7 linked regions of the Macaca fascicularis genome follow. The protein of the gene in region 1 purifies or fractionates together with the protein of each later gene. This does not show direct contact. Links are inferred from orthologs where the notes say so. Each region holds a gene or a part of one and is shown in the gene's direction. Other genes may lie near its edges. The genes, in order: TRIM25, IGF2BP3, YBX1, DDX5, G3BP2, G3BP1 and MAVS.

Region 1 (4,164 bases):
TATTACAAGGTAAACTAAGACATTTATCTTTTCCTCATTTTGCTACCCACTCTGTCCCCAAAGCAAACTCCAACTAATTCCTTCCAAAACACCATCTTTCTCTTTGCCACCAGCCCCCCCGGCATTTTTTTTTTTTTTTTTTTTTGAGACGAGACTCGCTCTGTTGCCCAGGCTGGAGCGCAGTGGCGCCATCTCCACTCACTGCAAGCTGCATCCCCCGGGTTCATTGCATTCTCCTGCTTCAGCCTCCCCGATAGCTGGGACTACCGGCGTTCGCCACCACGCCCGGCTAATTTTTTTGTATTTTTAGTAGGGACAGGGTTTCACAGTTTTCGTCAGCATGGTCTCGATCTCTTGACCTCGTGATCCACCCGCCTCGGCCTCCCAAAGTGCTGGGATTACAGTCATCAGCCACTGGGACCGGCCAATCCCCACCTCTTTTGAACACTTCTACTCTCCAGTCCACCCATACGTCCTGCAGTCAAGCCAGAGGAGGGAAAACAGAGCAAAAGAAAGTATTAAAGGAAGTAACTTTAAATCAGTAACTTTGAGAAAAATATTTAAGTTCCAATATTATGTGTGTGTGTGTGTGTGTGTGAGAGAGAGAGAGAGAGAGAGAGAGAGAGAGAAAGAGAGAGAGAGAGAGAGAAGGAGAGAGAAAGCCTTTGTTAAACTGGGTAACTCCAAATCCCAGGAAAGTAGAAATGGGAATTTTTATAAAAGCATGATATATCAGTAGAATGGAAATAAATCACCAGGTTTAAATCTGAGTGTGTGACTATGGGCTCCAGTCTTCAGGGACTGTATGTTCGCATGTCCCAATCCGGGACGAGGAAAGAGGAAGGATTAAAAAAAGAAGAAGAAAAAAGCATTGTGGTTTAACAGTTCCTACAGGTTTCCTTTTTTTTTTTTTTTTTTTTTTTTGCTTTTTTTAAAGCTTGCCCCATAGTTATGGGAACACCTCTGGTCTCAGATGAGTGCTGGGAAGGAGGGGACTTGCTCCGGGCGCAAGTTTGTGCGGAAGCGCGACTGGACCTGGGCTCTGAATCTGGGGGTCCGGGGTTCTGCACCCAGTCGTCAGCTTCCTCATCCGCAGAGTGGCCCCCAGAAGCCTCCGGGTGGTCGCGAGGATGCTCTAAACCCCGGGGGCTAAGGCCGAGCCCAGCGTCCCGCGCCCAGCCCGCGGGAGCTCTCGAGGCTCGCAGCGCGGCCGACCTTCGCCACTTCGTGGGCAACTGGCACTTCGGTGCCCGCAGGCTCTCGAGGGTACCTCGCGAGGCCCGACCAGTCCTCGCCGCCCGCCCCTCCGCGCCCCACGTGACTTCCTGACGGCTGCAGGGACTGCCCTTCCCGGGCTAGGTTTCGTTTCCTCGGCAGCCTCGGAGCGCGGTTGCAGTAGTCGCGTCTCGACCCCTGGGAGCATCATGGCACAGCTGTGCCCCCTGGCCGAGGAGCTGTCGTGCTCCATCTGCCTGGAGCCCTTCAAGGAGCCGGTCACCACTCCGTGCGGCCACAACTTCTGCGGTTCGTGCCTGAACGAGACGTGGGCCGTCCAGGGCGCCCCATACTTGTGCCCGCAGTGCCGCGCCGTTTACCAGGCGCGACCGCAGCTGCACAAGAACACTGTGCTGTGCAACGTGGTGGAGCAGTTCCTGCAGGCCGAGCTGGCCCGGGAGCCACCCGCCGACGGCTGGACGCCGCCCGCCCGCGCCTCTGCACCCAGCCCGGGTGCCCAGGTGGCTTGCGACCACTGCCTGAAGGAGGCCGCCGTGAAGACATGCTTGGTGTGCATGGCCTCCTTCTGTCAGGAGCACCTGCAGCCGCACTTCGACAGCCCCGCCTTCCAGGACCATCCGCTGCAGTCTCCAGTTCGCGACCTGTTGCGCCGCAAATGTTCCCAGCACAACCGGCTGCGAGAGTTTTTCTGCCCCGAGCACGGCGAGTGCATCTGCCACATCTGCCTGGTAGAGCATAAGGCCTGCTCTCCCGCGTCCCTGAGCCAGGCCAGCGCCAACCTGGAGGTAACGAATGGCCCGGGAGGGCGCAGAGGGCAGCCTGGGCCTGCTGGGTGGTGCAGAGGGGCCACCGGGGGCCTCTCTGCCACCCTCTGGACGCCCTGGGGGAGATGGGCCTGAATTCGAGGCCGGGGCATCTCCAATGTCAGAGTAGAAAGGGGCTGGGAGATTATATAGTCCTCTGCCATCATCCATGAAGACAGGTTAGGTTGCTTGCCATAAGCCTGTCTTTGTCTGATGGTGTTTATTTTTATTTTTTTTGAGACAGGGTGTCGTCCCTCTCACCCAAGCTGGAGTGCAGTGGCAGAATCACAGCTCACTGCAGCCTTGACTTCCCGGACTTAAGGGATCCTCCTACCTCAGCCTCAAGAGTAGCTGGGACCACAGACTCGCTAATTTTTTTACCTTTTTGTAGAGATGAGGTTTCGCCATGTTGCCCAGGCTGGTCTCAAATTCCTGAGCTCAAGCGATCTGCCCACCTCTACCTCCTAAAGCGCTAGGATTAAAGGCGTGAGCCACTGCACCCCACCATCTGATGGTGTTTAGTAGAGGGTTTTGAATGTCAACTATGAACCTTGGAGGTAACCTCTGTTCCTTCACGAAGTCCTGGTGGCACCCAGGAGGTGGATATGATTTAGTTTCATTTTACTCTTGAGGATACTGAGGTTCAGAGAAATGAACTTAGCCTGACCTAATGCAGTAAATGGCCACGCAAGCATTGCGGCCCAGGTTGGTTCGATTTCATAGTTTGCATTTCTCCCCATGGACCAGCCTCGTATCCAGGTCCGTAGAGTCTGGAGCACCAAACAGCCCAGGAAGCTTGAGGTCATGTAAGCAAAAGCCTTTGGTGGGCCGGAGAGTTCGTGTGATCAGGAAGGGTTGTTATTAGAGGCCTAAGAGGGAGGGTGGGCAGCCTCCCAGTAATCACTGGATCAGAACCACAGGGAGAGCCAACACTCTTGCACCATAGTGTCCTCTGTCCTGGCCGTGTGACTTTGAGCACAGGGTTTGGCCCCTGGACCTGGGTCCTCACCAGTATAGTGAGGCTGTGGGACTAGGTGGATTCCTAAGGGCCTTTCAGGTCTGCAATGTTTTTAGGTTGTCTGGGGATCATACCTTTCCCTTGTGGACTCAAAGCAGAGGCTGAAATCAAACCACCTTTTGTTACATCAGCCTAAGATCCAAAGCATGGCCTGATTTCATTTCATTCTCACAGCACCTTCAGGGAGAACAAGACCCGTCTTCGTGTTGTCAAAGGAGACAGTAGCCTGAGCAAGGTCAGAGTTGGGGGTCTGCATCCAGCTTTGTGTAGCATATAAGCTTGGCTTTTTTTTTTTTTTCCTTTTAGAGACAGGGTCTTGCTATGTTGCCTAGGCTGTTCTTGAACTTCCGGCCTCAAGGGATCCTCCCATCTCAGCCTCCTGAGTAGCTGGGACTACAGGTGTGCCACCATGCCTGGCTATAAACTTGGCTTTTTTTTTTTCCTTCTTTTAGAGACAGGATCTTACTTTGTCACCCAGGCTGGAGTACAGTGGGGTGATCATAGCTCACTGTAATCTCCAACTCCTGGGCTCAGGTGATCCTCTTGCCTCAGCCTCCTGAGTAGGTAGTACTACAAATGTGAGCCACCACACCTGGCTAAGTTATAAAAAATTCTTGTGTAAAGACAGGATCTCACTATGTTGCCTTGGCTGGTCTTGAACTCCTGGCCTCAATGCTCCTCCCATCTTAGCCTCCCGAGTAGCTGGGACTACAGGTGTGCTACCACCCGGCCTGGCTGTAAAATCAGATTTTTTTTTTTTGAGACGGAGTCTTGCTCTGTTGCCAGGCTGGAGTGCAGTGGTGCGGTCTCAGCTCACTGCAACCTCCGCCTCCTGGTTCAAGCGATTCTCCTGCCTCAACCTCCTGAGTAGCTGGGACTACAGGCGTGTGCCACCATGCCCAGCTAATTTTTATATTTTTAGTACAGACTGGGTTTCATCATATTGGCCAGGCTGGTCTCAAAGTCCTGACCTTGTGATCCACCCACCTTGGCCTCCCAAAGTGCTGGGATTATAAGTGTGAGCCACCATGCCCAGCCCATATATATATATTTTTTAATCTTTTCTTTTAGAGACAGGTTTTCACTCTGTCACCCAGGCTTGAGTAC
Region 2 (3,500 bases), on another chromosome or scaffold:
GTGAGCCAAGATGGCTCCACTATACTCCAGCCTGTGTGACAGAGCAAGACTCTGTCTCAAAAAAAAAAAAAAAAAACCAGATGAAAAAGAGAGAAACTCTCCCAAAATAGTGTGGTAGAGTGGGCAGATTAGAAAGTAATTCTCTTTCTTTGGTTTATCACCACCCTTGCCTCTTTGCCCCAAATCAGATCATTAACCACAAAGTCAGGGACCACTGTTTTCTCAGGGACTGGCTCATAATAGGTACTGAGTGTGACTGGTAGAATTTAATACTCAGGATAGTTTGTGAATAGTTTAGAGATATTTGTGCACTGCTTCTTAAAATGGTTTTAAATACTTCACATTTTAGAGGGTGAAGTAAAAGAGGTATGTATTTCTAATGTCTCTTCCACTGTGATTTGGAAACATTAGCCAAGGCAAGAAGCCCACTTGCCTTCTCTCTTGCTGCTTAGCTATTCTAAACTGTTAATAACCTTATGGGTTAAACTTAACCAAGAGTTTGACAAAATGTTTTTTGTTTTTCTATTTTTCACTAAGTAGATGGCACATAAGTTCCCTCTGGAAACTTGTGGCCTTTTTCCCCGCTGCGCCTGTCTCAAAGGAAAATGTGTGCAGGTGGTGGTGGTGCAGGGCGAGGAGGGGGAGGATTATGTGTGTTGCAGGTTTGCTGCTTGTGCTGGGGCTTTACTCAGAAGTTTATAGCTAGTAATGCTGAGTAGAAGAGATGGGTGTTGTTTTGCTAAAAGATGTATCGTATAGACTGATTCCTTTTCCCAAACCTGCCCCTTTTCAACTTTCAGAGCACTAGACAAACTGAATGGATTTCAGTTAGAGAATTTCACCTTGAAAGTAGCCTATATCCCTGATGAAATGGCCGCCCAGCAAAACCCCTTGCAGCAGCCCCGAGGTCGCCGGGGGCTTGGGCAGAGGGGCTCCTCAAGGCAGGGGTCTCCAGGATCTGTGTCCAAGCAGAAACCATGTGATTTGCCTCTGCGCCTGCTGGTTCCCACCCAATTTGTTGGAGCCATCATAGGAAAAGAAGGTGCCACCATTCGGAACATCACCAAACAGACCCAGTCTAAGTGAGTATGCTGAGTGTATGGTGGGTGTTCAGGAGAATTCCCCTTGGAATCTTAGCAGTGTGTCGTTCTGGTACTTGGTGCCCTTCTGAACGCAGCCATGAGGCCTCCTTGTACAGTACTTGGGAAATGTATAAAAATCTTGCAGTATCTTGGTGTTCATTTCATATAAATCTGGAGCTAATCCTGAGTCTCAAACGAAACCTCAGATTTTCACACATGAATGGAAAACAAATGATACCTAATCCTCTTCTGGTTGGGGAGGCTCTGGAAGACAGACAGGCAGCTTCTAGGTTGTTCTCTGTTCCACCCCTTACCCCCCACCTCCCCTCATTGCTTTTAGAAGTAATTTTCTGGGTCCAATCCGTTTTATTTGTGGCCTCAATACAGAGATAGTTTTTCAGTCTTGCCTTACTCGAATCACTCATCTTATTTATCCAAATTTTTCCTGTGATTAAGCCATGTGATTAGAATGGCTTTTTCTTCTGGATATTTTTTGATGTTTTTAATTGGTGGGCTTTAAGGGATTGGAAGATTCCCATCCAAATGTTGGAGCTAATTATCATGAGCAGAAAGCAGGAACTATTTGTTTTTATTTACTACTGTAGCCCCAGGGCCAAGGCCAGGGCCTTGCTGCATAGAAGGATCTTCTATTTGTCAAATGACTAAAATGACTACATGTGAATTATGCTTGAAGCCCTTCACGTGTGTCTAAGATACTTCTCAGTCCTCATGCATTGTATGTTGTTTTGCTTTAGAAACCATGCTGTTGTACAGTATGTGGATATTTTTTGACCCAGAGAAGCTTGGTGACAAGCTCTGCCCCCCATACCTAGCTCGGTAACGTGCTACAGGGCACATCTCTGGGCCTGTTACTAACGTTTTTCCTGAAGAACCTGTGAATGTGCTGGGAAAAAGAGGTTGTATCCAAAAATACCATCCTGTAAGCCTTGGGCCAGCTACAGAAATGACAAGATTATTTTGCCTTTTAAATTGAGAAAGGAGAATGATTTTTTTTAATGTGATCCGACGAAATAAGCTTAATCTTTCCCTAAAAGTTAGAACTACACTGCTGTGTATACTTTATGTGTTTGTTCCAGCAGGCCTAAGAGCACATGCGTATTCATCATAGGCACCATGCCTGCATTGGACTAGCTGACCCATTTCTCATGCAGAACCAAAAAGAACTGTACTAAGAGGTGGTCTACACCCACCTGCTCCCTGCAGTGACATCTGATCCTGCCTTCCCCTGCTTTGAAGCAGGAGATGTTGGGTGCTGGTTACCTGAATGCAAAATTAATGGCCCTGACCTCATCATGTAGGAGTGGGAAAGACAATTGGACCATAACCATAACCTAGTCAGTCGGCTTGGCTTTTATCTTAAAATTTAAGGGCTTCTTGCTTCCCTTGATCCACCGTTACCTGCAGAAATTCTTTATATGGCTTCCCTTCCTTGTCATGTAGCAGATTAGAATTGTTCCTTTTCGAGCTATTCATTTCTCTGTCAGATGAAAGAGCTGTGACTTAAATTGAACTGTTTGTTTTACTTAAGGCAGGAAAATGGGGATGGGGAAGGGAAGCAATCTTTGTTATATCCGAGGATTCATTTGCAGAGCTCTGCCAGTGGATTTAATTAACTCTTGACATTGAAATTAGTCATTATCAGAACCTCTGTTTCTGGAATGGTCTCAGAGGGCCACTTTAACCTCCAAAGCCACATTCCCTTCTCTCAGGGGATCGGAGTTTAGTAATCCAGGCACAGTGAAAGGGTGGAAATAAACTGCAAAGAAGGATGCTAATGTGTTACTGGAAGACACGCATCACTGAAAGTGACTGGGGATTGAAACAGCAGCTGGGAAGATGACTCCTAAGATTGGGACTGTTACCTAAGACACTATTTTTTTTATTAGTTATTTTTAGGTAGCCCTTAATTTGTTTCATGCCCTTATTTTTAGTTTTCTTTCACTCTTGAGGTGTAAAGCTTTAGATTTCAACCAAACATTTAGGAAAATGAAAGCCAAACCTTGATTTTATTGGCACGATCAAGTGGTCACTCTCACGGCCATGAGTTATTTAGGTCTTTAAGTGTTTGAGTGGCCAGAGGAACTCAACAAACACTTAATTTTCCCAAAAACACACATTTTTGAGTAGCTGATTTTCTTTCTTGTACTTTTTAAATAACAGCAGACATATTTAATTCAAAACATATAAATATGTAAATTAAAAAGTTACCATTCGTCTCACCCGGGTAGCCATTGGTAAGTTGGGGATGTATCTCTACAGGATTTGTTGCCTGTATCTACTAACATGTGTGACTTTAAAAAAGAAATCATGTCATGATATGAATTGCATTATTTCACTTAAGGACTTTGTACTATGTTGGTACCTGTAGTTTTACCACATTTTCAAAAACATCTGTAT
Region 3 (3,978 bases), on another chromosome or scaffold:
CATTCGAGTCTTATTGAACTACTTGACTGCATTTCCCGAGATCCCACCCCTTCTCGCCTGTACCCTGTGCGCAGAAAGTCAGCCCTCCACCTTCTCCCTGCTTCTACTCCCAAAATACTTCGTGCTTCTGCAGCTCTGGAGTATTTACCGTGTTGGCTGTTTAAATTTCTGCCTCCATCAGAAGGCAGAAACTGACTCGCGAACTATTCCATCCCCAGCCGATAGTAGACGCTTAAAAAAGAACGAAAGAAGGTGGGTGGAGGACTTCAGTAACATCAGGTGGCAGCCTCAATTTTATCGTTTGTGAAACGTGGATAGTAATTCCTCTATCACATGGCTGTTGTACGAATTAAATGAAAAAAAACATAGGACGCTAGCTTGTTCAATAAATGTGAGTTGAATTAAATCTGATTTGTGGCCAGTAGAAAAACACGTTAACACTTGAAAAGGAAGACACATTTTTAAAAATATATGCCTGGTAAAACGGATCAGAAGGCAGGTCCCCACGGAGCACACCCTCGCCCTAAACATGCTGAGCCCGGGCTGCCAGAGCCTGCGTGGTCCCTCCAAGGTGACTGCTCCGACAAAAGCGTACGCTCTTCAAACGCATACGTTTAAGGCAATTCCAGAAACCCTCGGCTGTGCCGCGAGTACACGGCCATTAAAGAAAAGACGACTCTATGCCCGCCGTAATGTTCTCAGATCACAGGGACCGTATTTGGTGCAGGGAGGGAGGGAAGCCTTTTCTTCACGGGGAGCTAAGGCGTCGTCGAGCCCCCTTCCAATCCCGGGTCCGGCCGGGTAATCCCTGCCCAGCGTTCGGGCGTGCCTTTTTTTCAGCCGAGACACAACCCTGAACGTCGGGCCCGCCAGCCCGGCGACTGCCTCGTGGAAGTCACGTTCCCTCTGCCCGTCCTCTCAGGTACTCTATGGTTTTCGTGGCCGACTACTCTAATTCTAGTTCCGGTCTCTATGGCGGCCGGCGGAGGCAGGAACGGTTGTAGGTCGGCTGAATTAGCCGCCAGACAGCCAATGAGAGTGGAGGACTGATAAAATGTTAGTCAATAGAAGCCAGGGACTGAGGTCAGGTGGGCAGATTGACAGTACCACCGGCCAGTGAACAACGCCTAGGGCGGGTCGATCGTAGGGCTTATCCCGCCTGTCCCGCCATTCTCGCTAGTTCGATCGGTAGCGGGAGCGGAGAGCGGACCCCAGAGAGCCCTGAGCAGCCCCACCGCCGCCGCCGGCCTAGTTACCATCACACCCCGGGAGGAGCCGCAGCTGCCGCAGCCGGCCCCAGTCACCATCACCGCAACCATGAGCAGCGAGGCCGAGACCCAGCAGCCGCCCGCCGCCCCCCCCGCCGCCCCCGCCCTCAGCGCCGCCGACACCAAGCCCGGCACTACGGGCAGCGGCGCAGGGAGCGGTGGCCCGGGCGGCCTCACATCGGCGGCGCCTGCCGGCGGGGACAAGAAGGTCATCGGTGAGGACCGGACAGGGACGGGGGTGGGGCCTTCGGGCAGCCTGGCAGCGGAACCGTTAGCCGGGGCTGGGCGAGCCGGCGGGCGCGCGGCCGGTGGGGACCGACTCCGCGGCGCGCGGCCGCCCCTCCCCCCGCCCCCCCACTCGCTCTTGCGGGGGCCCGCCCGGCAGGCGCGCGCACACTGCCTCCCGCGCCCCCTGTGGACCCCGCGCGGCCGCGCGCCCCTCCTCCTGCGGCCGCGCGCCGCCGACCGCGTGTGCGACGGGGTCCCCTCCCCGCCGACTGGCCTCGTGCGCTCGGGCCCGCACGCCGTTGTTCGCGTCTCCCCCACCCAGCTCCCTTCCGCGTGTGCTCGGAGGGCGCGGCGCACCGCCTACGCAGTCCGGAGCTGCTTCCCCTTCCCTCACGTGCTCTCCGTCCGCGGCCTGCGAACACACCCATCCTGGGCCCGCGCCCCGGGCCTGCCCGGGAGCGCCCCGCGCTTCAGACTCACCCACGTGTGCGGCGGCGGCGGCGTGGCCCCGGCGCGGACCCGCACCCAGGCGGTGGAGAGAAAGGGCTGTCAGGTGGCCGCGGCGGGCAGCGTGCGAGGGACCGGATGCCGAAGCGAGACGGGTTTGGAAAAGGATAGCTGGTAATCGTGGCTTGTTTTGCTTTGTTTTCTTTTCCAGCAACGAAGGTTTTGGGAACAGTAAAATGGTTCAATGTAAGGAACGGATATGGTTTCATCAACAGGTGAGCTGCTGGGCTCTGAAGCCTCCATCCTACCTTCTTGCTTGCTTCTTGCTGTGCCAATCCACAGTCCTCTTCTGAAAGGCGTTTACTACCTCTGGTGTATTAATGTGATTTTTTGTCTGTTTGTTTTCCTTGACGACTGGAGGGATTTGGGTTTAGAGAATGCCTTTGTTTTGCAGCTAAATATTAATTTGAAGCTAACTTCAAGGGCTTCGTCACAGCACAAAGCAATTTAAAAGGCAAGCGGAGTGAATGAGCCATTCCTTAACAGGGTAAACGGGAAAGTACGGTCCAGTAGATTTTTATTCTTGTCATCCTTTTCTACTTTATTGAACTCGGTATTTGAGAATGTGATCCACTGACATCGGATATTTACGCCTTGTTAACATTTTGGGGGTAAGAGGATTTGACGTGTCAAGTATATGAGGTTTTGTCATCTTTACCGAGAGGTTGTATTGCCTTTGTTTCACGTTTCATTTTAATACCTGAGATAAATTCTGTATTAGCACAGCTTTGACCAGAGAGAACTGTTTTTATTTGTTCATAAATAATATATCTGCAAGAAAATGGTTTTTTTCCTTCAGTTCTTATTTCATTCTTCCTTGTCCTAAAATCATGCTGATGAAGTCAATTTCCGCTAGATCCCTGGCTGTAGCTTATTAGAGTGGCCATAGTCACTAGTAACTTGACATTGTTCTTCCTGTTTGAAGGTAAAGCTGCAGATACGTCTTTAGGACTTACCCTTCGGGTTGTTTGTGGCAGTGGTGGTGGTAACGTGCAGTAGACGCACAGTATTCCATGGGCTTCCTTGTGAGCCGGGCATCATTTTCAAGATGGCTGCCAAGGCTAGTAGTGCAGTTACATGGGTGTAGAGCACTGGGTATGCCAGTAGCAATCTTGGCCTCACAGGTATGGTACTTAAGTGCCATCTCAGCATTCTCTTGCTTACTTACTGTAGAAGACCTAAGCAGATGATTAAAAGAACAACGTGGAATGGACAACAAATGGGCAAAATCAAGCTTAAGGACAGATTCATGGCCTGATGAAAAACTGTTCATTAATCAATCATAGAGTATTGTGGAAATACTTAAAGTAAGAGATAAGCATTTGATGATCTATTCTCTACTTTTGCAATTGTGGGAAAACATTTTGTTTCTTCCAGAATCTTAGGATTTTCCAACTTGTTCTATACTGTTTGCCTTCCTGGCTGGCTGAAACTACGGTTTTCATTAATTTTTTGATAAAAGCTTACTAGCAAAGAAGAAAGGGAATGCTTATATATGATTGGTAAACTGATAGCTTTTTAACTGATCTGTCTGAATTTGTTAGTGTTTTAGTTTGTATTTGTGTCTTACTGACTGTCCTTACTAGTCTAACTCTTAAACCAGTGGTTTTCAAATTTAAGTGTGCTTACGTTGGAAGGGTGTGATTTAAGTGGTGTATTTCTTCTGAGCTTTGGATTCATTAGGTCTGGGTACATTTTTAACAGGAATGATAATGGTCTTCGGGCCATACCTTCAAAATCACTGCTTTTAACCCTTGACCCAATGTAATGGTAACTCTGGTGTGCAAATATGCATCCTTTTCAGCAGATAGATCGCAGTTTTTGTATGTGTTTAAGAAGTTTTAGCATGTGCCTTGTTTCGCTGCATTTTTTTTTTAAGTGGGCATAGGTTATGACATTTTTTGAAATCAATAGTTTTGTCCAAAATAAGAGTATTATCTTTACACTTTATAAGTATTTAGTCCATGAGATACTA
Region 4 (4,237 bases), about 21 Mb from region 1:
GTTACTGTTGCAGCCTAAAATCTTAAGTTACTTATATAAGCCTTACGTGGGTGTTTTTAGTTAAAACATGTTTACAAGTAAACAGGAATATTATGTCATAAGCAACAGTTTAATAATAATCTGAAGTTACTAGACAGTCATTAATAAAATATGTTGCTTCAAACTCCCAACAGTATTGGTCATGTGTTTACCCAATTATCTTGTGCAAGTCAGGATTTCTCTGGTGCCCAAATAAGTGGTGATTAAACTTAGGCTGTTAAGAACTGGCATAATGACAACATCAACACTAATGCATTTCTTAGTTTTTCTTTTTTATTATATTGATCTACATGAAACAAAATATTGGAAGTACATGAAGCTCAGAATTATCAATACTGTTGACGTTTCCTGCATACCACATTCTCCTCTCCCCTAGATATTGCTGGGATTTGCGAAGTTTAACAGTTTCTCTACCAAAAGCAACTTAGCTTAAAATACTTGTTCCTTGAAATGCCTGACGATTGGTAGGAAAGCACTGGCAATCGATATTAGAAACAAACATCTCCACTATGTTCTGGACACATGACGTTCTGGAAACGAATGAGAGTGTATCTTCCAGGCACATAATCCCCCCTCTCCAAGCCCATTTCTCACAACTGGCCAAACCATGACAACTGGTTTGTACGCAGTCCTAGTGAAAAGGATGAAAGCGTCCTAGACAACCAAATTAATTCGCTCTTCAAAAGCGGTGCTAGACAAAGCCCATGACTCTAGAGGGCACTGAAGAGAAAAAAGCACCACTATTCTTCTGTGGCAGGGGCATGAATAAACCTTAAGAGTGCCGTTCCTTTAAAGACCACTACAAAAGGAGGTACGACCTCAGGGCCCATAGTGCAAGGGAGGAGGGCACATGGACAGCGGCTAGACGCCCCACAGAAAGACAAGTCCGAGGACGACCCTTCTGACTGCTCTTTTTGCAGCCAGGACCCGAGCGTCCTACCGGCCTCGCCCCAGTGCCTCTCTCCCACCTCATACTGCTGTTCCACGGCCTCAAAGCGAAGAGGGGGTGAAGCTGAGAGACCCTATCCAGAGAACCCGCCACCGCGACGCAGCGTCTGACAGTAACGAGCCCCGCCGACACCCCAGACCCAGTCCGGGCTAGCCCGAGGCCTCCCTGAAGGTGGACAGTTTCAGTAAACACACACCGCGACCCCAGGGAAACACTCACCAGCCTCCGAGCGGGCCATGTCTCGGAAGCAGGTCGCCGCCGGACTCCGACGCTGCCAGACCGGCGACGGTGTCCTGCAAGGACCGAACGCAGAGCAGACGCTGGGGGGCGGGCGCACGAACTAAAGCGCGGGGAAGGAGGCGTGAAAGAGGGAGGGACGTTAAAAGAACTTCTCGCCGCTGATTGGTCATCAGAGGAGCACTTCCTTTCACAGCACGTGCCACGGAAGCGGTTTGGGAAGTTTAGAGACCATTCTCCGCCGGCCAAAACCCGTCACAGGATTGTCAGACCCGTGGGTCGGACGGTCCAAGTTAGCCGGCAGCTGGGGGCGGGTCCCGGGTGCTGGCAGCGCACTTCCGGTGAGCTATTTCGTTATGTATCCCTCCGCCGACGTCAACGGGGAAGTAGTGCGGCCCCCTGTCACGGTGGGCGGTGGGGGGGTAACGTCACGTGACAACGCCAGGCCCCCGCCTTCCCTCTCATTTGGTTACAGGCGTGAGGGCTCTTTGGAGACGTAAACACCTCCGAGTGGGGAGGGTGGGCGGGCTTGGGCTGGCTGTTTTATCGTCTGGCTGGGCTTGGGAAAGGGCAGGGTGGCTTTCTTGAGGTGTGGAAAGACGAGAAGAAGGTGAGGTCAAGAGAGTGGAGAATGAGGCATTTCAATGGTGGGTGGGCCCTGACCTGAGAGAGCGGCACGGGGTGGGGTGAAAGCGCGGCGATCGCGGAACGCCGGCGGGCGTTGCGGCCTCTGCGCGAGGGGCGGGGCGATTAGGTCATAGAGCGGCTCCCAGCGTGCCTTGCGGCGTAGGAGGAGGTCCAGACTATAAAAGCGGCTGCCGGAAAGCGGCCGGCACCTCATTCATTTCCACCGGTCTCTAGGTGTGCAGCTTTGGCTGGTGTCATCGCCGTCACTCCTCCGCTGCCGCCCCCGCAAGGCTTCGCCGTCGCCGAAGCCATTTCCAGCGACTCGTCGCACCCTTTTCTATCTACTTCGTTCCCCGCCAACCGCAACCATTGACGCTATGTCGGGTTATTCGAGTGACCGAGACCGCGGCCGGGATCGAGGGTGAGTGTGGGAGCCGAGTTGTCAGGGCTGGCGGGTGGGGGATGGGAGGGCGGGTCAGGGTGGCGGCGGGCCGGGGCTTTGCGGCTTGGACTCGGCCTTTCCGGGCTATCTTGGGGCCTCCTTTCCCGAAGGCTTGCGCCATTTTGATATTCACGTAACAGTGAGTGGGAGAGATTTGACGGGATAGTGTCTTCATCCTCGCTTTTTGTGTGGGGGTCGGGGAGCCGTCGGGGCGGCTGCCATTTGGTAGCTGTTGAGGGAATTCAGAGGGAGCGCATTGTTCGGATGAAAGCGCGACGCTTCGAGGCAGACGAAGGAACAGCTGTTAGGTGCGGCCTTTCGGGAGGTGTTTTTGGGGTGGTCGGGCATTCTGTGGGAGCGAAGGGACCACCTCCAAAGCCACTGGTGCTGTGGGGGTAGGAGGGCGGCCGGCATCAGCCATGTGGCTGAGTCGCGGGTATAAAATGCCGGCCTTGGACATGGCGGCGGCGCCTTTGTTACTCCGCCCGGCGGAGGAGCTCAAAATGGCAGCGTCGAGAAAATGTGGCGCAGAGAGAAATGCGAGACAAAGGGGGAAGCGCCGCCCCAGCGGGAACGCCGCCCGGCCGGCTCCGCCCGGGCCGGGACTCCTCCCCCGGTAGTCGCCGGCTCCTCCTTTTCTTTTTTCCTGCGTTATATAATTTTAATTCGTTGATCCGGAGCTCTACCGCGGCGTCCCCCCAGCTCGGTTTGCTAGCAGAAGTGTTTCTAAACCGTTGTTTCGTTTTCGTTGTCTGTGCTGTCTAGATTGTTGACATCAAAGCTCTTTGGCTTGAAAACGGCCATATGAGTAACATCGTTGTGATGCTCTTCGGTTCATGTAGGCTTGTTATCACTGATAATGAATTGCTAGACTGGTGAGAAAGATAATAGTAACCACAAGAAGTGGTGTGTAATACTAAATTCTGGCATCTGGGTGACAAGTTTTCGATATAGTAAATCCCAGGCTGTTTACGTGGCCTAAGTTGTGTGTACTTGGGACTACGGGAAACGTTAACTGTGGCTGTTGAGAGAGAGATTATCACTAAGGACAGTGCTAGGTTTACCTCTCGAAGTCGGCTTTCAGTGATCTTTAGCTTGTGCCAAGGGATGGTAAACAAATCTGTCCAGAAACCTAGGTGTAGCCATTTGAAAATGTAAATAACTTTTTTTCTTCATTCCAGGTTTGGTGCACCTCGATTTGGAGGAAGTAGGGCGGGGCCCTTATCTGGAAAGAAGTTTGGAAACCCTGGGGAGAAACTAGTTAAAAAGAAGTGGAATCTTGATGAGCTGCCCAAGTTTGAGAAGAATTTCTATCAAGAGCACCCTGATTTGGCTAGGCGGACAGCAGTGAGTAAATTCATGTGGCTTCATCAGGCTGTAACTCAATGGAGTCTAGTAAATGAAATTCTGACAGGTGTTTTGCAAATAACTCAATTTTGGTAGAGTTACGTTTTCTGACTTCATAATTGGGAAAGGTGTGACTCACTTTTGCAAATAGGTGGCTTTGGGAATTTTTTTTTTTAGATTGAGTATAGCAGAATAAACGGTTTTTTTGTCATATAGGGTTTTCATACGCGGTTCCAGATTAAAATGAAGCTACTTTAAACTAATTACTAAATTATGAAGTTACGGACTTGCCAATTACGTATTTAGTTAGGGGTGGTTGTCATGAGCTTTAAGACTGTTATAATTTGTTTTGCAGCAAGAGGTGGAAACATACAGAAGAAGCAAGGAAATTACAGTTAGAGGTCACAACTGCCCGAAGCCAGTTCTAAATTTTTATGAAGCTAATTTCCCTGGTGAGTGCTACTTTTCAGTTCTACCCTACCCCTGTGTTTTTGTTTTCACCTACCTCCTCCTTTCCTTGGCATCACTAATTTTTGTTAAATATCTGTCACTAATTATAGCAAATGTCATGGATGTTATTGCAAGACAGAATTTCA
Region 5 (3,500 bases), on another chromosome or scaffold:
TACTTTGCTGAATAAAGCTCCAGAATATTTACACAGGTAAATTTTAAACAAATAATTTGGTATTGTTATCTATTTTTTTTCTTGGATATTACTACATATATTTTGCATTTCCTGTCTCATTATCTGACAGTATGTTTGTAAACATGTCTAAACTGTATTCAATATTTTATTCATTTGATGGCAGAAAGTGTTTTTGACTGCAACTCACAGTAACAAAAACACTTTATGTCATATTCTAGTACATAACACATTCATATATATATATGCACATACTTACATGTACTCTAGTATTTTACTTTTAGAGTCATGGTCTTGCTCTGTCACTCAGGCTGGAGTGCAGTGATGTGATTATAGCCCTCTGTGGCGTCAAACTCTTGGCCTCAAGCGATCCTCCCAGCTTGCAGCTTGCCTTCCCAAAGCACTGGGATTACAGGCATGAGCCACCAAGCCCAACCTTTATTTCATTAAAAAAACCAAAAAAACAAAAAAAGCCTTTTGGGGTGGGTGGTGGAGAACTATATAAAGTTTACACGAGACTGGACGCAGCGCCTCACACATGCAATCCCAACACTTTGGGAGGCTGAGGCAGGTGGATCACTTGAGGTCAGGAGTTTGAGACCAGCCTGGCCAACATGGTGAAGCCCCGTCTCTACTGAAAATACGAAAGTTAGCTGGGCGTGGTGGCAGGCGCCTGTAGTTCTAGCTACTCAGGAGGCTGAGTCGGGAGAATTGCTTGAACCTGGGAGGTGGAAGCTGCAGAGAGCGGAGATTGTGCCACTGCACTCCAGCCTGGGTGACAGAGTGAGGCTTCATCTCAAAAAAAAAAAAAAAAAACCATATCTTGGGTTTGACCGTTTGACCAACTAATGGGTTCCAATATGCAATTTGAAATCAGCAGCTTAAATCTTTTTTTTTAAAGTTATCCCAAACAGTGTCGGGGAATGGATCAGTTAAATGATTATACTGTGAAAATTTGTATTTCTTCTAATCTGTAAAATAGTATTCCTTTGTAAAACAGCAGCAATAACCTTATTTACTGTTTTAACAAGAGGTAGACATCTGTAGGCTTGTTTTTTCCAGAGATCAAAGTGAAATTGATTTATATTGTGGGTAGTATTTAATTTTTGTTCTTGATGTATCTTAGCAAGTAGAAGATAGGTGAAACTCTTACAAGAGTTACACTTTGTAAGTATTGCAGAACACACTGGCCAAATGGGTTAAGGATAAATATATTACCACTTCCCGTGAGAAAGGCTGTTTAAAAGACTTAAATTCCTTTATCTGTAGGTCATCTTAATGAGCATTTCAGTAGCAATTTGTCTTGCTCTTTTGAACATACATGTAATCTGTTTTATTCAAGAAGGCATTTTTATATTTACTGTTTGCTAGACTCTAATTACTTTACATATGTATATTATCTCATGTATTCCTTATGACAGTCTTTTTTTTTTTTTTTTGAGACGGAGTCTCGCTCTGTCATCCAGGCTGGAGTGCAGTGGCTTGATCTCAGCTCACTGCAAGCTCCGCCTCCTGGGTTCACGCCATTCTCCTGCCTCAGCCTCCCGAGTAGCTGGGACTACAGGCACCGGCCACCACGCCCGGCTAATTTTTTTAATATTTTTAGTAGAGACGGGATTTCACTGTGTTAACCGGGATGGTCTCGATCTCCTGACCTCGTGATCCGCCCGTCTCAGCCTCCCAACGTGCTGGGATTACAGGCATGAGCCACCGCGCCCAGCCTCCTTATGACAGTCTTAAAGTGAAGTTACTTTTATTAGCTCTTTATCTATTAGACAGTTGAGGTTAGTAATTCATCTAGGATCACTCAATAAGTAAACAAGCTAACCATAGCCAATATTCAGGCCCAGTTCTGAGTAGTGTCCCCAACCACTTTATTATAATGTAGTATATATAAAGTGTAACTAACATGTATCTTCCCCGCAAATAAATGTAAAATGAATAACTGTGTCTTTCTCTAATTGTAAAAGTAAAGATGTTTTTGATGACAGTGTATGTGAGGGAGTTTGGGGGAAGATATAGAATTAATAGGGCCCTTTGATATCTGAAATTTGGTCTTTTCATGATACAGGGTTTTTTGTTTTCTTTAGTGACCAAAAAAAAAAAAAATTAAAACAATAAGGCCCTACACCATCATGTTTAAACAGTAACAGACTTGTTTTAGACCTAGCTTATTTGACCAATTTCTTTCTTAATGAAAATTCAAGTTGTTATAATTTTCTACTTGTGATAAGCAACACTAATACATATCCTGAAACATGCATTATTTGTGTACGTTGCTAGTTAGTTATTTTCTTAGATACTTTCCTGGAAGAATTAATGCATCAAAGAGATATGATCATTCTGAGACTTTTCATGTGTATACACACAGATACACACACAGCCAAACTGTTCTATAGGAAAGATGCCAGTAGTACATGAGAGAAGAGAGTGTAAATTTAATAGTAAGAGTAGTGGCTAAAAGCATGGACTCTCAAGTTAGACTAGGTTCTTATCTTGGGTGCCCCACTTGATAGGTATATTACCTTAGGGGAGTTAATTTAACCTCTTCTGAACCGCAGCTTGTTTATTTAGATAATAGTACTTCATGAGATTGTTAAGAAAATTAAGTCAGTCAGTACACATAATACACTAAAAACATTGCTTAGCATAAAGGAAGCTCTTAAATGTTTTATTACTATAGGAGTTGCGTTTTCTTTGTGAAAAAATTAACTTCACGTCTTTGAGCTTAATTTAGAAAGATTCTAATTCTAATTGCTTTGGATAATGCCAATAAAAGACTAATTTACACATACTTAGGAACAGTACAAAAATATTAAAAAATTAGATGCTGAAGTAATTTTGGATTTTAGACTTTATCTCTGAATTGTTTCAGTTATTTTAAATCTAAACAGTTTAAGCCTTTAGAATTAGTAATCATTTGGAGATCTGAATATAGTATTAAACTGTGATTCCCAAACAAATCTAGATAGCTGAATCTTTGTATCTGAAGAGAAAAACAGGGTCGGTTACTATAGCATCTGTATTTAGAATGTACTAAATAGTCAAAAATATCCGATTTTTCCACTTAACAAAAAACATATGTGATAAGAATTAGATATGAGTATCTAATGATTGTCTACGTACTGTGCCAGATAAACTAAGAGCATTCTATGTGCATTACTCATTTAATCCTTACAACGACCCTGTGTAGTAGTTCCTGTTCCTGTTTTATAACCAAGGAAACTGAACTTAAAGACCTTAAGTAATTTACCTGTCCAAGATTACACAACTAGTGACAGAGCCGGATCCGGAACCTAGTCTATGACACCAGAATTCTACTGCCTCTTAGGCTTCTCTTGACAATTCAGTGTTAATCATTAATTATGGTTTTGCAGGTTTTATGGCAGGAATTCTTCCTATGTTCATGGTGGAGTAGATGCTAGTGGAAAGCCCCAGGAAGCTGTTTATGGCCAAAATGTAAGTATCAATTTCATATATAG
Region 6 (4,209 bases), on another chromosome or scaffold:
TTCGCTCCTGGGCTTCCCGAGTTCCAGGCTCGGGTTAGCCAGGCGCAGGCAGGCGAGCGGGCCCGGCTCCCCACAGGTTGAGGCCGGCGCCCGTGCTCCTTTCAGCTCGGCCTCTCTACCCCTACATAGGTGCTCCATGTGCTTCATTTCCAAAATTTTCAGCGACACTCCGCGGGAGACCCTCCCGCCTGGTCACATGCCCGAACGAAAACAAACCGGGTCGTGTCTGTGCCTGACGGCTGGGAACCAAAGCTATTTCCACAGAAAATGCCCACGGCGACCCACGCACGGCCGCCCAGCCATGAGTTATAGCCCCGCCAGTGCCTGAGACGCCAGGAGGAGGGGATGAGTTGCCCTTTAAAGGCGTAGCGACGAGAATAAGCCCCCATCCGCGGCAATTGGAGGCTGAACAATAGTGCCGCGGCTCGAGACGTGGTGCGAGGGCCCAAACTACACTGGAGCACGCGCGGACCACCGTGCCTCAGCCGCCACAAAGGGAGCCTCGCCACACGCCCGCGGCCGCCTCGCAGCACCCGCCCGGAAGCGCCTGGCGGAAGGGCGCGCTCCCAGGCACTTCCACTGGCTACCTTCCGGCGGGAGCCCGTAGGCGGCGCAGGAGCGACTTTCCTTCCCGTGCCCCACAGCAGTGCTGAGTAATGGTGAGGGCAGCAAGGCCCTTGGCCGTCGTATGTAAAAAAAAAAAAGTTGTAATAAAAACAAAACCACCCGGGAAACTTTGCCACTTAGTTCCCCACAGGTACCAAACTGTGCAGAAAAGGCGGTGTGCACGCCTCAGAGCCGGGACCCAGCAAGTCAGAGAAAGAAAGGAAAGAGAGCAGAAGCCGCAGCCTGCATAACCTCACAACCGCCCAGAGGGCACGGTCGCCCTGGGGCTCGGTCTCTTCCGAGCAGCGTAACCTCCGTGTCTATCAACTCCTTCCGGCATTGCGATTGGCCACAGGCTGTCTTGGCCTCTCGGGCGCCCGCCTCCTAGTTGCTAGGGGTTTACTTCCCCAAAGTACACGGGCCCCACCTTGTGGCGCAACCGCTCCTGCATGGAAAACGGATCTCCGCCCAGGGGAAGACGTGTTAACGAATAAGAGCAGCTCCGCATATTTATTGGCTACTCTGGGTATCAGTCAAAGAACTGCTCACCCGCCTTTCTATTGTACTTTTCGGTTATTGGTCTCTCTTAGTGCCGATCTGTTACTAGGGAAACGAGATCCTCACAGTCTCATAGGCATGAGTCAAAGCCAATCAAGAGCCACGCCTTCATCCCCAGTAAGTGCCCAATTGCTGTTCGAAGAGCCCGGAGGACGCGGTCGGGATTGGTCATCCCGTCGCCCGACCTGGCCGCAACAAGTTAGGGTGAGTGGCAGCTATATAGACCGGCGGCGGAGCACGCGTGTGTGCGGACGCAGTTGCGTGAGGGGTTTCTGTTATCCTTGGTGCTGTGGAGCAGAGCTAGTTCCTCTCCAGCTCAATCAGGTAGGTATGCAGGGGTGTGGGCGGGGCAGGGCAGCCAGAGGACTAAGCTGAGCCGCGGCAATTGTGAGAGGGAGAAGTCTGAGTGGCGCTCGCGGCGGCCGCGCCAGGCGCGTCCCCCACCCCCACCCCAGCCCCAACGGCCGCAGGCGCGCGCGGCGGACGGACGGGAGCGCGGCGGCTCCCCGCTCCCCCTCCCCTCCCGACTGGGGCGCGTGGCCGTGTCCGCCGCGTGCGCGTGCTGCGTTCAACGGCCACGCGGGGCGGGAGTGAGTCGCGGCCGCCGCCCGGGCCCCAGGGCGGCCTCGAGGACTAGGGGCTCTGCGCCCAGCGTTTCCCGCCCGCCACCCACTCCGCCACGCGCCTGCGGAGTCTTTTCGTCCCCTGGCCAAGAGATCCAGTCGGTTCGGACCAGAAGGAAGCTTTCGTTTAAGGGTGGGTGCAGCACTAAAGTCTAGAGTCTTGTGGTCCGCGCGCCGCAGAAGTGCCTTCAGTTTTGCAGGGAGGAAAGGGAGCAGCGAGTGCACGGAGTGATAGTAACAACCAGTGTTCTTTCCACGCTCTCGCTATGTGCCCGGCACTGTGCGGAGCCGCTTTTCTGCCTTTGATTTGATTGTCGCAGTGAACCGGCGAGGTGGGTACGGCTGTCCTCCTTCCGTAGCGGCCCAAGGCAAGGGTCTGGAGAGCGGGGTCACAGGCACGCACGGGAAGGGCGGGGATTTGCTGACGCCGGTCCCTCTGACTCCGAGTCCCCCGCTTCCCAAGCCTGTTTTATTCTTTGCCCCCAGAGCACTTGTCCCTCGGGACAGCATCAGCCTCAAAAGGCCACCTGCCGAGCAGGCTGCAGCGGCATTTGTACTTGGGCTAGTTCTGGGCTTCCAGGGAGACAAGGGTTGGTAGTGGGAATGTGACAAAGGAAAAGGGTTTGGGCTGCTTTTCTACGTGTATTCGTACAGGCCGTGGGTAGATGTGCCGCCACAGTAACTTCTGGAAAAAAGTAGGGAAAATGATGAGTAAGTGCAAAAGAACATCGACTGTGTTCCTCATCGGGTTTGAAACTCAGATTGGTGATGGGAAATTCCCGCCAGCGGGAAGTTAGGCTCCGGTTTTAGACGTTGAATTTTTTTTTCTCTCTATTTTTTTTTTTAATTGGAGGAGGCTTTTGGAGAAAGACCTTGAGAAGATTAACTTTATAGTTGAAGGAAGTGAGGTGCAAAGCAACGAGTTTCAGATCTCACTAGCATCTGTGGGTTAAAATACGGAATTGGAATGGAAAGGATGGCGCCCAGTTACGATATACATTTGATCTCTGTGGCGCGTGTCACCCTGGCCGAATTACTGGTGTTGGAGATGTCTTGGAAAAAACAACTGTGACAGTCGAGATCAGTGGATGAAAGTTTGTGTACACACTCCGTTTATTTAGCATTTACTCTGCTGGGTTCCTGTGTATATGCAGAAACAGGATGCTTTTCTTCAGACACTTGAGATTATATTTTTCTAGTAGAGTTACCATATTTTAGGTTATTTAAAAGCCAGCATACTCCTTGGCTTAGTGAAATAAATCTTCCTATGTTATAGAAACGCTTCTATAAACATAAACGTTTCTATAAACATGTTCTAGAAACTCTTTCTAGAGAAGCTGTTATGCGTTATAATGTAACAATGTTCCAAGTAACATTTACTTGGAACTTTCCTGGTGTAGCAATTCCGGTTACCTGCCCTTACGGACTGGTTAACTATTGAATTAGCATTTTAACTTAGACTTAAAGACGAGCAATTTAAGTTGTCAAATGGAAAAACACTAGAATGATCTGCATTTAAACTGTTAAAGCTTGAGTCCAGCTAATTTTATTACAGCTTGAGGCAAAATAGAATGAAATTACCTTACGCATTATTGAGGGAAAATTTTGTTAGTTTCTACTTAAAATATTAAAAAAAAAAATACAGTTCTTGGCCTCAGGCAAATGGTTATCACTTGGGCAGGAATATGCAAATTACGTGATTATTTCACAGACCGGTGCTCCAGCTGATCACTTGTGCATTCCTTTATCAGGAACTAGTGAGTTGAAGCAAATTGTGGTAATGTAAGGCTTGGCACGGCCGCCCTACATCCCTACCATTGGAGCTGCTTACCGGTAGAAAAGTCTAGCTTTTGTACCTCTTACAGGTAGAAAAGTAGACAGTTCTTTGTTTAACTCAGTTTGCTGTTCTCAGCTGACAGTCCACCAGGGAACATTAGGAGATTTTGGTTATGTTGGTTTGTGACCTACTTAGAGCAGTTTTTCTTTTGTAACTTATGGTTTTTCTTTTTTTTCCCCACTCGTTCTAGTATTTTGCATAGAAAGTGAACGGCAGAAGGCAGTTTTAAGTTTTTGTAAAAGTTTGTGAATTTTATATCGTCCTTAGGACTGATGGGGTTAGTGTTAAAAGACAAAATTTAACATAAAGCTTACATTTGTGACTAAAGCCAATTTTACAATTTTTTATTTTTGTCAGTCTGATAAAAGTACCCACTTGGTCTTTTAACAGTTTGCAAATTGATTTTTTTTGTTTCAGAATTCAAATATGCATTGTATGTTGTTTGTTTAATTATATTGTGCTTTGGCTTCCTTGGACAAAACTATTACTGACTTTAGGAAGAAGAATGAATAATTGTGGAAGTAGGTAGGTCACAAAAAAAAAAAAAAAGAAAAAGAAAGGAAGCCTCGTCCGCCCCCCCAGTAA
Region 7 (3,500 bases), on another chromosome or scaffold:
ATGGGGTTTCTCCATGTTGGTCAGGCTGGTCTCGAACTCCCGACCTCAGGTGATCCGCCAACCTTGACCTCCCAAAGTGCTGGGATTACAGGCATGAGCCACCGCATCTGGTTTTTTTTTTTTTTCTCCCAAGACGGAGTCTTGCTCTGTTGCCCAGGCTGGAGTGCAGTGGTGCGATCTCAGCTCACTGCAACCTCCGCCTCCCAGGTTCAAGCAATTCTCCTGCCTCAGCCTCCCGAGTAGCTGGGATTACAGATGCATGCCACCATGCCTTGCTAATTTTTGTATTTTTAGTAGAGATGGGGTTTCACTATATTGGCCAGGCTGGTCTTGAACTCCTGACCTCCTAATCCACCTGCCTTGGCCTCCCCAAATCCTGGGATTACAGGCATGAGCCACTATGCCCAGCTCCTGATTCCTTTTTTTTTTTGAGTCGGAGTCTCACTCTGTCGCCCAGGCTGGAGTGTAGTGGTGCGATCTGGGCTCACTGCAAGCTCCGCCTCCCGGGTTCATGCCATTCTCCTGCCTCAGCCTGAGTAGCTGGGACTGCAGGTGCCCGCCACCACACCTGGCTAATAATTTTGTATTTTTAGTAGAGACAGGGTTTCACCATGTTAGCCAGGATGGTCTCGATCTCCTGACCTTGTGATCCGCCCGCCTTGGCCTCCCAAAGTGCTGGGATTACAGGCATGAGCCACTATGCCTAGCCCAGATTCCTTCTTGATATCACTACATCTTTGTCCTCCAGGGACCTCGGACCGTCCCCCAGACCCACTGGAGCCACCGTCACTTCCTGCTGAGGGGCCAGGGCCTCCCACACCTGCTGCGACCCACAGTATCCCCTACAACGGCTACAGAGAGAAGGAGCCAAGTTACCCCATGCCTGTCCAGGAGACCCAGGCGCCAGACTCCCCAGGAGAGGTCTGTCCTCACAGGACACCTTGAGCCACCTGCTTTTGTGTTCCTATCTGCCTACTTCTGCCCACTGAGCCTTCCAGAAACCCTCTCCTGTCCCCTATAATTCACGCCTAATCTCTGCTCAGAATCCCAGGGCTTCCTTAGTGGCAATCTGCCCCAGACCAGCTTCCAGACTGCTGACCACGTCTTTACCCTGTGGCAGCCCTAATCCTCTGTCACCAACCAGCTGGGAGAGCACAGTTTTTATTTTATTTCATTTTATCTTTTTTGAGACAGCGTCTCATTCTGTCGCCCAGGCGGGAGTGCAGTGGAGCGATCTTGGCTTACTGCTACCTCTGCCTCCTGGGTTCAGGTCATTCTCCTGCCTCAGCCTCCGGAGTAGCTGGGATTACAGGCATCCACCACCATGCCCAGCTAATTTTTGTAGTTTTTGTAGAGATGGCATTCTGCCATGTCAGCCAGACTGGTCTCGAACTCCTGACCTCAGGTGATCTGCCCACCTTTGCCTCCCAAAGTGCTGGGATTAGAGGCGTAAGCCACTGCGCCCGGCGATGCTGTGTTTTCTGTGAGGTAGATGCAAGGACACCTGTGGACAGAGGGTCTGGGAATTACCAGAACCCAGAAAAGGGCTCCCTTGGCTCCTGTGCTCCATGGTGTGGGCTGAGACCTATAGGAGATGCCCCAAGAGCACAAGCTGCCCTTTGAAAGCTCTTGGGAGAGGCAACTGCCTTAATCATATTTTCCCTCTTGCAGAGTTCAGAGCAAGCCCCACAGACACTCAACCCCAGAGTCATCCCAAGGAGTCCAGATGGTGGCCCCCTGGAGCCCTCCTCTGACCTGGCAGCCCTCAGCCCTCTGACCTCCAGCGGGCATCAGGAGCAGGACACAGAACTGGGCAGTACCCACACAGCAGGTATGCATGGAATCTGGAATTATAGGGTCCTTCTGATCTCTCAAGTGAAGGTGAGAATTAAGAGTTGCCCCTCTGGCTTCCTTGAACAGGAGACAAGGTGGGAATAAAGGGAGTTCAACCCAGGAAGCAAACCAGTTCCTTAGCGGGTGTATCAGTTAGCATTTGCTGTGTAACAAATACAGTTTTCCAATTTTGTTTTTTTTCAGTAGCTTAAAATATAGCCATTTATTTAGCATATGATCCTGTGGGTCAGGCATTTGGGCTACCTACCTGGGCACTTCTTCTGGTCTTGACTGAATTTCCTCTCAAGTACTCACTGATATATACATAAGTTCTGCCTCTGGCTGTTGGCCTTGCACCTTGGTTCTCTTCTATGTGGTCTCTCATCCTCCAGCACACAAACCCATCATGGCAGCTGGGCAGAGTTCCCAGAGAGAGAGGGCTCAAAACTGGCACAGTGTCCCCCATGCCCCATTCTGTAGGCAAAAGCAAGTGATAAGGCCAGCCTAGATTCAAGGAGTAGGGAAATAGACTCCCTCCCTAGAGGGGAGGACTGACAGGCACAGTGCAAAGAGGCTAGGTGGAGGTAAGTGAGATAAGTCGGGCCATTTCTGCCCTCTGCCAAAGGGACTGTGGGGATCAGCCAGGGCCTGGAGGGCGGTGGGCAAGGGACAGTGCAGGGCTGCATCAGCTGTTGGCAGGGGAGCCTTTAGGCACTGCCTTACTGCAGAGATCTCCAGTTCCCAGTGAATCATGAAAACTTCTCAGTTCCCAGACTTCTTCATCATCCAGTGGCCTGGACCCAACTCCAGACCTCAGTGCTCCCCCTCAGAAATATATAGTTGTCCATCTGGACCTCTCAGGCTAGCATGTCTCTTTCCTACTTCCCAAACTGTTCCACATGATGCTGGTGCCCAGTCAGCCCTCAGTGCCCTGGGACAGCCACAAGACAATGAGCAGTTAAAGGCTGGGAGACGTCATCTTAGTACTTTTGTCATCCCCAAACTGCTCCAAGCACCTGTCTATGCTTTGTAGTGTCATCTGGCCATGGGATGCCTTTCAGGAGTTGCTGTAGACCATGCAGGCAGAGGGCACTTAGGTTTCAGTATGTTTGTAGACACAGGTCCCATGAGATTCTGTGGTATTAGATTGCCGTGGGGGAGGTGTACATCAGAATCACCCTGACTTTTGCCAGCTGTGGGGCTTGGCATGTGCATTCCGAGTTCCGTGGAGAGTCCTGCTGCAACTGCCTTTATAGACCATCACTACCTGCTATCCCCTGCTTCCCCGACCCAGGTCAGGCAGCCTCCCAGGGGTGGCTTTGTCCCTGTTGCCTCTCTTCCCAAGCCTCTGGGATGGCCAGCCCTCTTGGCTGGTATGAGCCATTCTGCATGCGCCGTCCTGCCACCCCTCACCCTGATCCACGACTGCTTCCACTCGTGGTGGTCGGAGAGGGACAGCAATGGGGGAAGTGTTCAGGATTCCATGAGGCTAAGGTCAAGGTAGAAAAAGTGGACACAGGAGAGGGGAGGTTTCCTAGGTGGGAGAGGAAAAAGCGGAGAGAATAATTAATAATGATCTTCAAGTTCCTAGGTACCATTTCACTGTGTGCCAGGACAGACCTGGGGCTACAGGTCAAGGACTGAGGGCAGCTGTTGGGCTTTCAGGC

The links.
Region 2: the proteins of TRIM25 (region 1) and IGF2BP3 purify together in Homo sapiens (affinity purification with western blotting; 3 studies listed by BioGRID, with this or other methods). This does not show direct contact. The link is inferred for Macaca fascicularis from reciprocal best matches to the Homo sapiens genes TRIM25 and IGF2BP3.
Region 3: the proteins of TRIM25 (region 1) and YBX1 purify together in Homo sapiens (affinity purification with western blotting; 4 studies listed by BioGRID and IntAct, with this or other methods). This does not show direct contact. The link is inferred for Macaca fascicularis from reciprocal best matches to the Homo sapiens genes TRIM25 and YBX1.
Region 4: the proteins of TRIM25 (region 1) and DDX5 purify together in Homo sapiens (affinity purification with western blotting; 3 studies listed by BioGRID, with this or other methods). This does not show direct contact. The link is inferred for Macaca fascicularis from reciprocal best matches to the Homo sapiens genes TRIM25 and DDX5.
Region 5: the proteins of TRIM25 (region 1) and G3BP2 purify together in Homo sapiens (affinity purification with mass spectrometry; 4 studies listed by BioGRID and IntAct, counting the BioPlex papers as one, with this or other methods). This does not show direct contact. The link is inferred for Macaca fascicularis from reciprocal best matches to the Homo sapiens genes TRIM25 and G3BP2.
Region 6: the proteins of TRIM25 (region 1) and G3BP1 purify together in Homo sapiens (affinity purification with mass spectrometry; 4 studies listed by BioGRID and IntAct, with this or other methods). This does not show direct contact. The link is inferred for Macaca fascicularis from reciprocal best matches to the Homo sapiens genes TRIM25 and G3BP1.
Region 7: the proteins of TRIM25 (region 1) and MAVS purify together in Homo sapiens (affinity purification with western blotting; 3 studies listed by BioGRID and IntAct, with this or other methods). This does not show direct contact. The link is inferred for Macaca fascicularis from reciprocal best matches to the Homo sapiens genes TRIM25 and MAVS.

The regions. Positions count from the first base shown.
Region 1 is NC_088390.1:49,808,731-49,812,894, forward strand, and holds the start of TRIM25 (E3 ubiquitin/ISG15 ligase TRIM25), read left to right. Parts: upstream 1-1,364; 5' UTR 1,365-1,424; coding exon 1,425-2,021; intron 2,022-3,231; exon of another isoform or gene 3,232-3,292; intron 3,293-4,164.
Region 2 is NC_088377.1:106,924,444-106,927,943, forward strand, and holds part of IGF2BP3 (insulin-like growth factor 2 mRNA-binding protein 3), read left to right. Parts: intron 1-800; coding exon 801-1,082; intron 1,083-3,500. UniProt on the Homo sapiens protein: RNA-binding factor that may recruit target transcripts to cytoplasmic protein-RNA complexes (mRNPs). This transcript 'caging' into mRNPs allows mRNA transport and transient storage.
Region 3 is NC_088375.1:192,186,736-192,190,713, reverse strand, and holds the start of YBX1 (Y-box-binding protein 1), read left to right. Parts: upstream 1-1,178; 5' UTR 1,179-1,317; coding exon 1,318-2,117; intron 2,118-2,154; coding exon of another isoform or gene 2,155-2,218; intron 2,219-3,978. UniProt on the Homo sapiens protein: DNA- and RNA-binding protein involved in various processes, such as translational repression, RNA stabilization, mRNA splicing, DNA repair and transcription regulation.
Region 4 is NC_088390.1:71,096,259-71,100,495, reverse strand, and holds the start of DDX5 (probable ATP-dependent RNA helicase DDX5), read left to right. Parts: upstream 1-1,437; 5' UTR 1,438-1,566; exon of another isoform or gene 1,567-1,835; intron 1,836-2,086; 5' UTR 2,087-2,229; coding exon 2,230-2,273; intron 2,274-3,475; coding exon 3,476-3,641; intron 3,642-3,996; coding exon 3,997-4,093; intron 4,094-4,201; coding exon 4,202-4,237. Other genes in the region: CEP95 (centrosomal protein of 95 kDa), read right to left, coding at 1,208-1,226. UniProt on the Homo sapiens protein: Involved in the alternative regulation of pre-mRNA splicing; its RNA helicase activity is necessary for increasing tau exon 10 inclusion and occurs in a RBM4-dependent manner. Binds to the tau pre-mRNA in the stem-loop region downstream of exon 10.
Region 5 is NC_088379.1:58,219,092-58,222,591, forward strand, and holds part of G3BP2 (ras GTPase-activating protein-binding protein 2), read left to right. Parts: coding exon 1-36; intron 37-3,395; coding exon 3,396-3,477; intron 3,478-3,500.
Region 6 is NC_088380.1:158,622,483-158,626,691, forward strand, and holds the start of G3BP1 (ras GTPase-activating protein-binding protein 1), read left to right. Parts: upstream 1-1,409; 5' UTR 1,410-1,488; intron 1,489-1,756; exon of another isoform or gene 1,757-1,920; intron 1,921-4,209. UniProt on the Homo sapiens protein: Protein involved in various processes, such as stress granule formation and innate immunity. Plays an essential role in stress granule formation.
Region 7 is NC_088384.1:83,425,929-83,429,428, reverse strand, and holds part of MAVS (mitochondrial antiviral-signaling protein), read left to right. Parts: intron 1-748; coding exon 749-921; intron 922-1,671; coding exon 1,672-1,831; intron 1,832-2,021; exon of another isoform or gene 2,022-3,367; intron 3,368-3,500.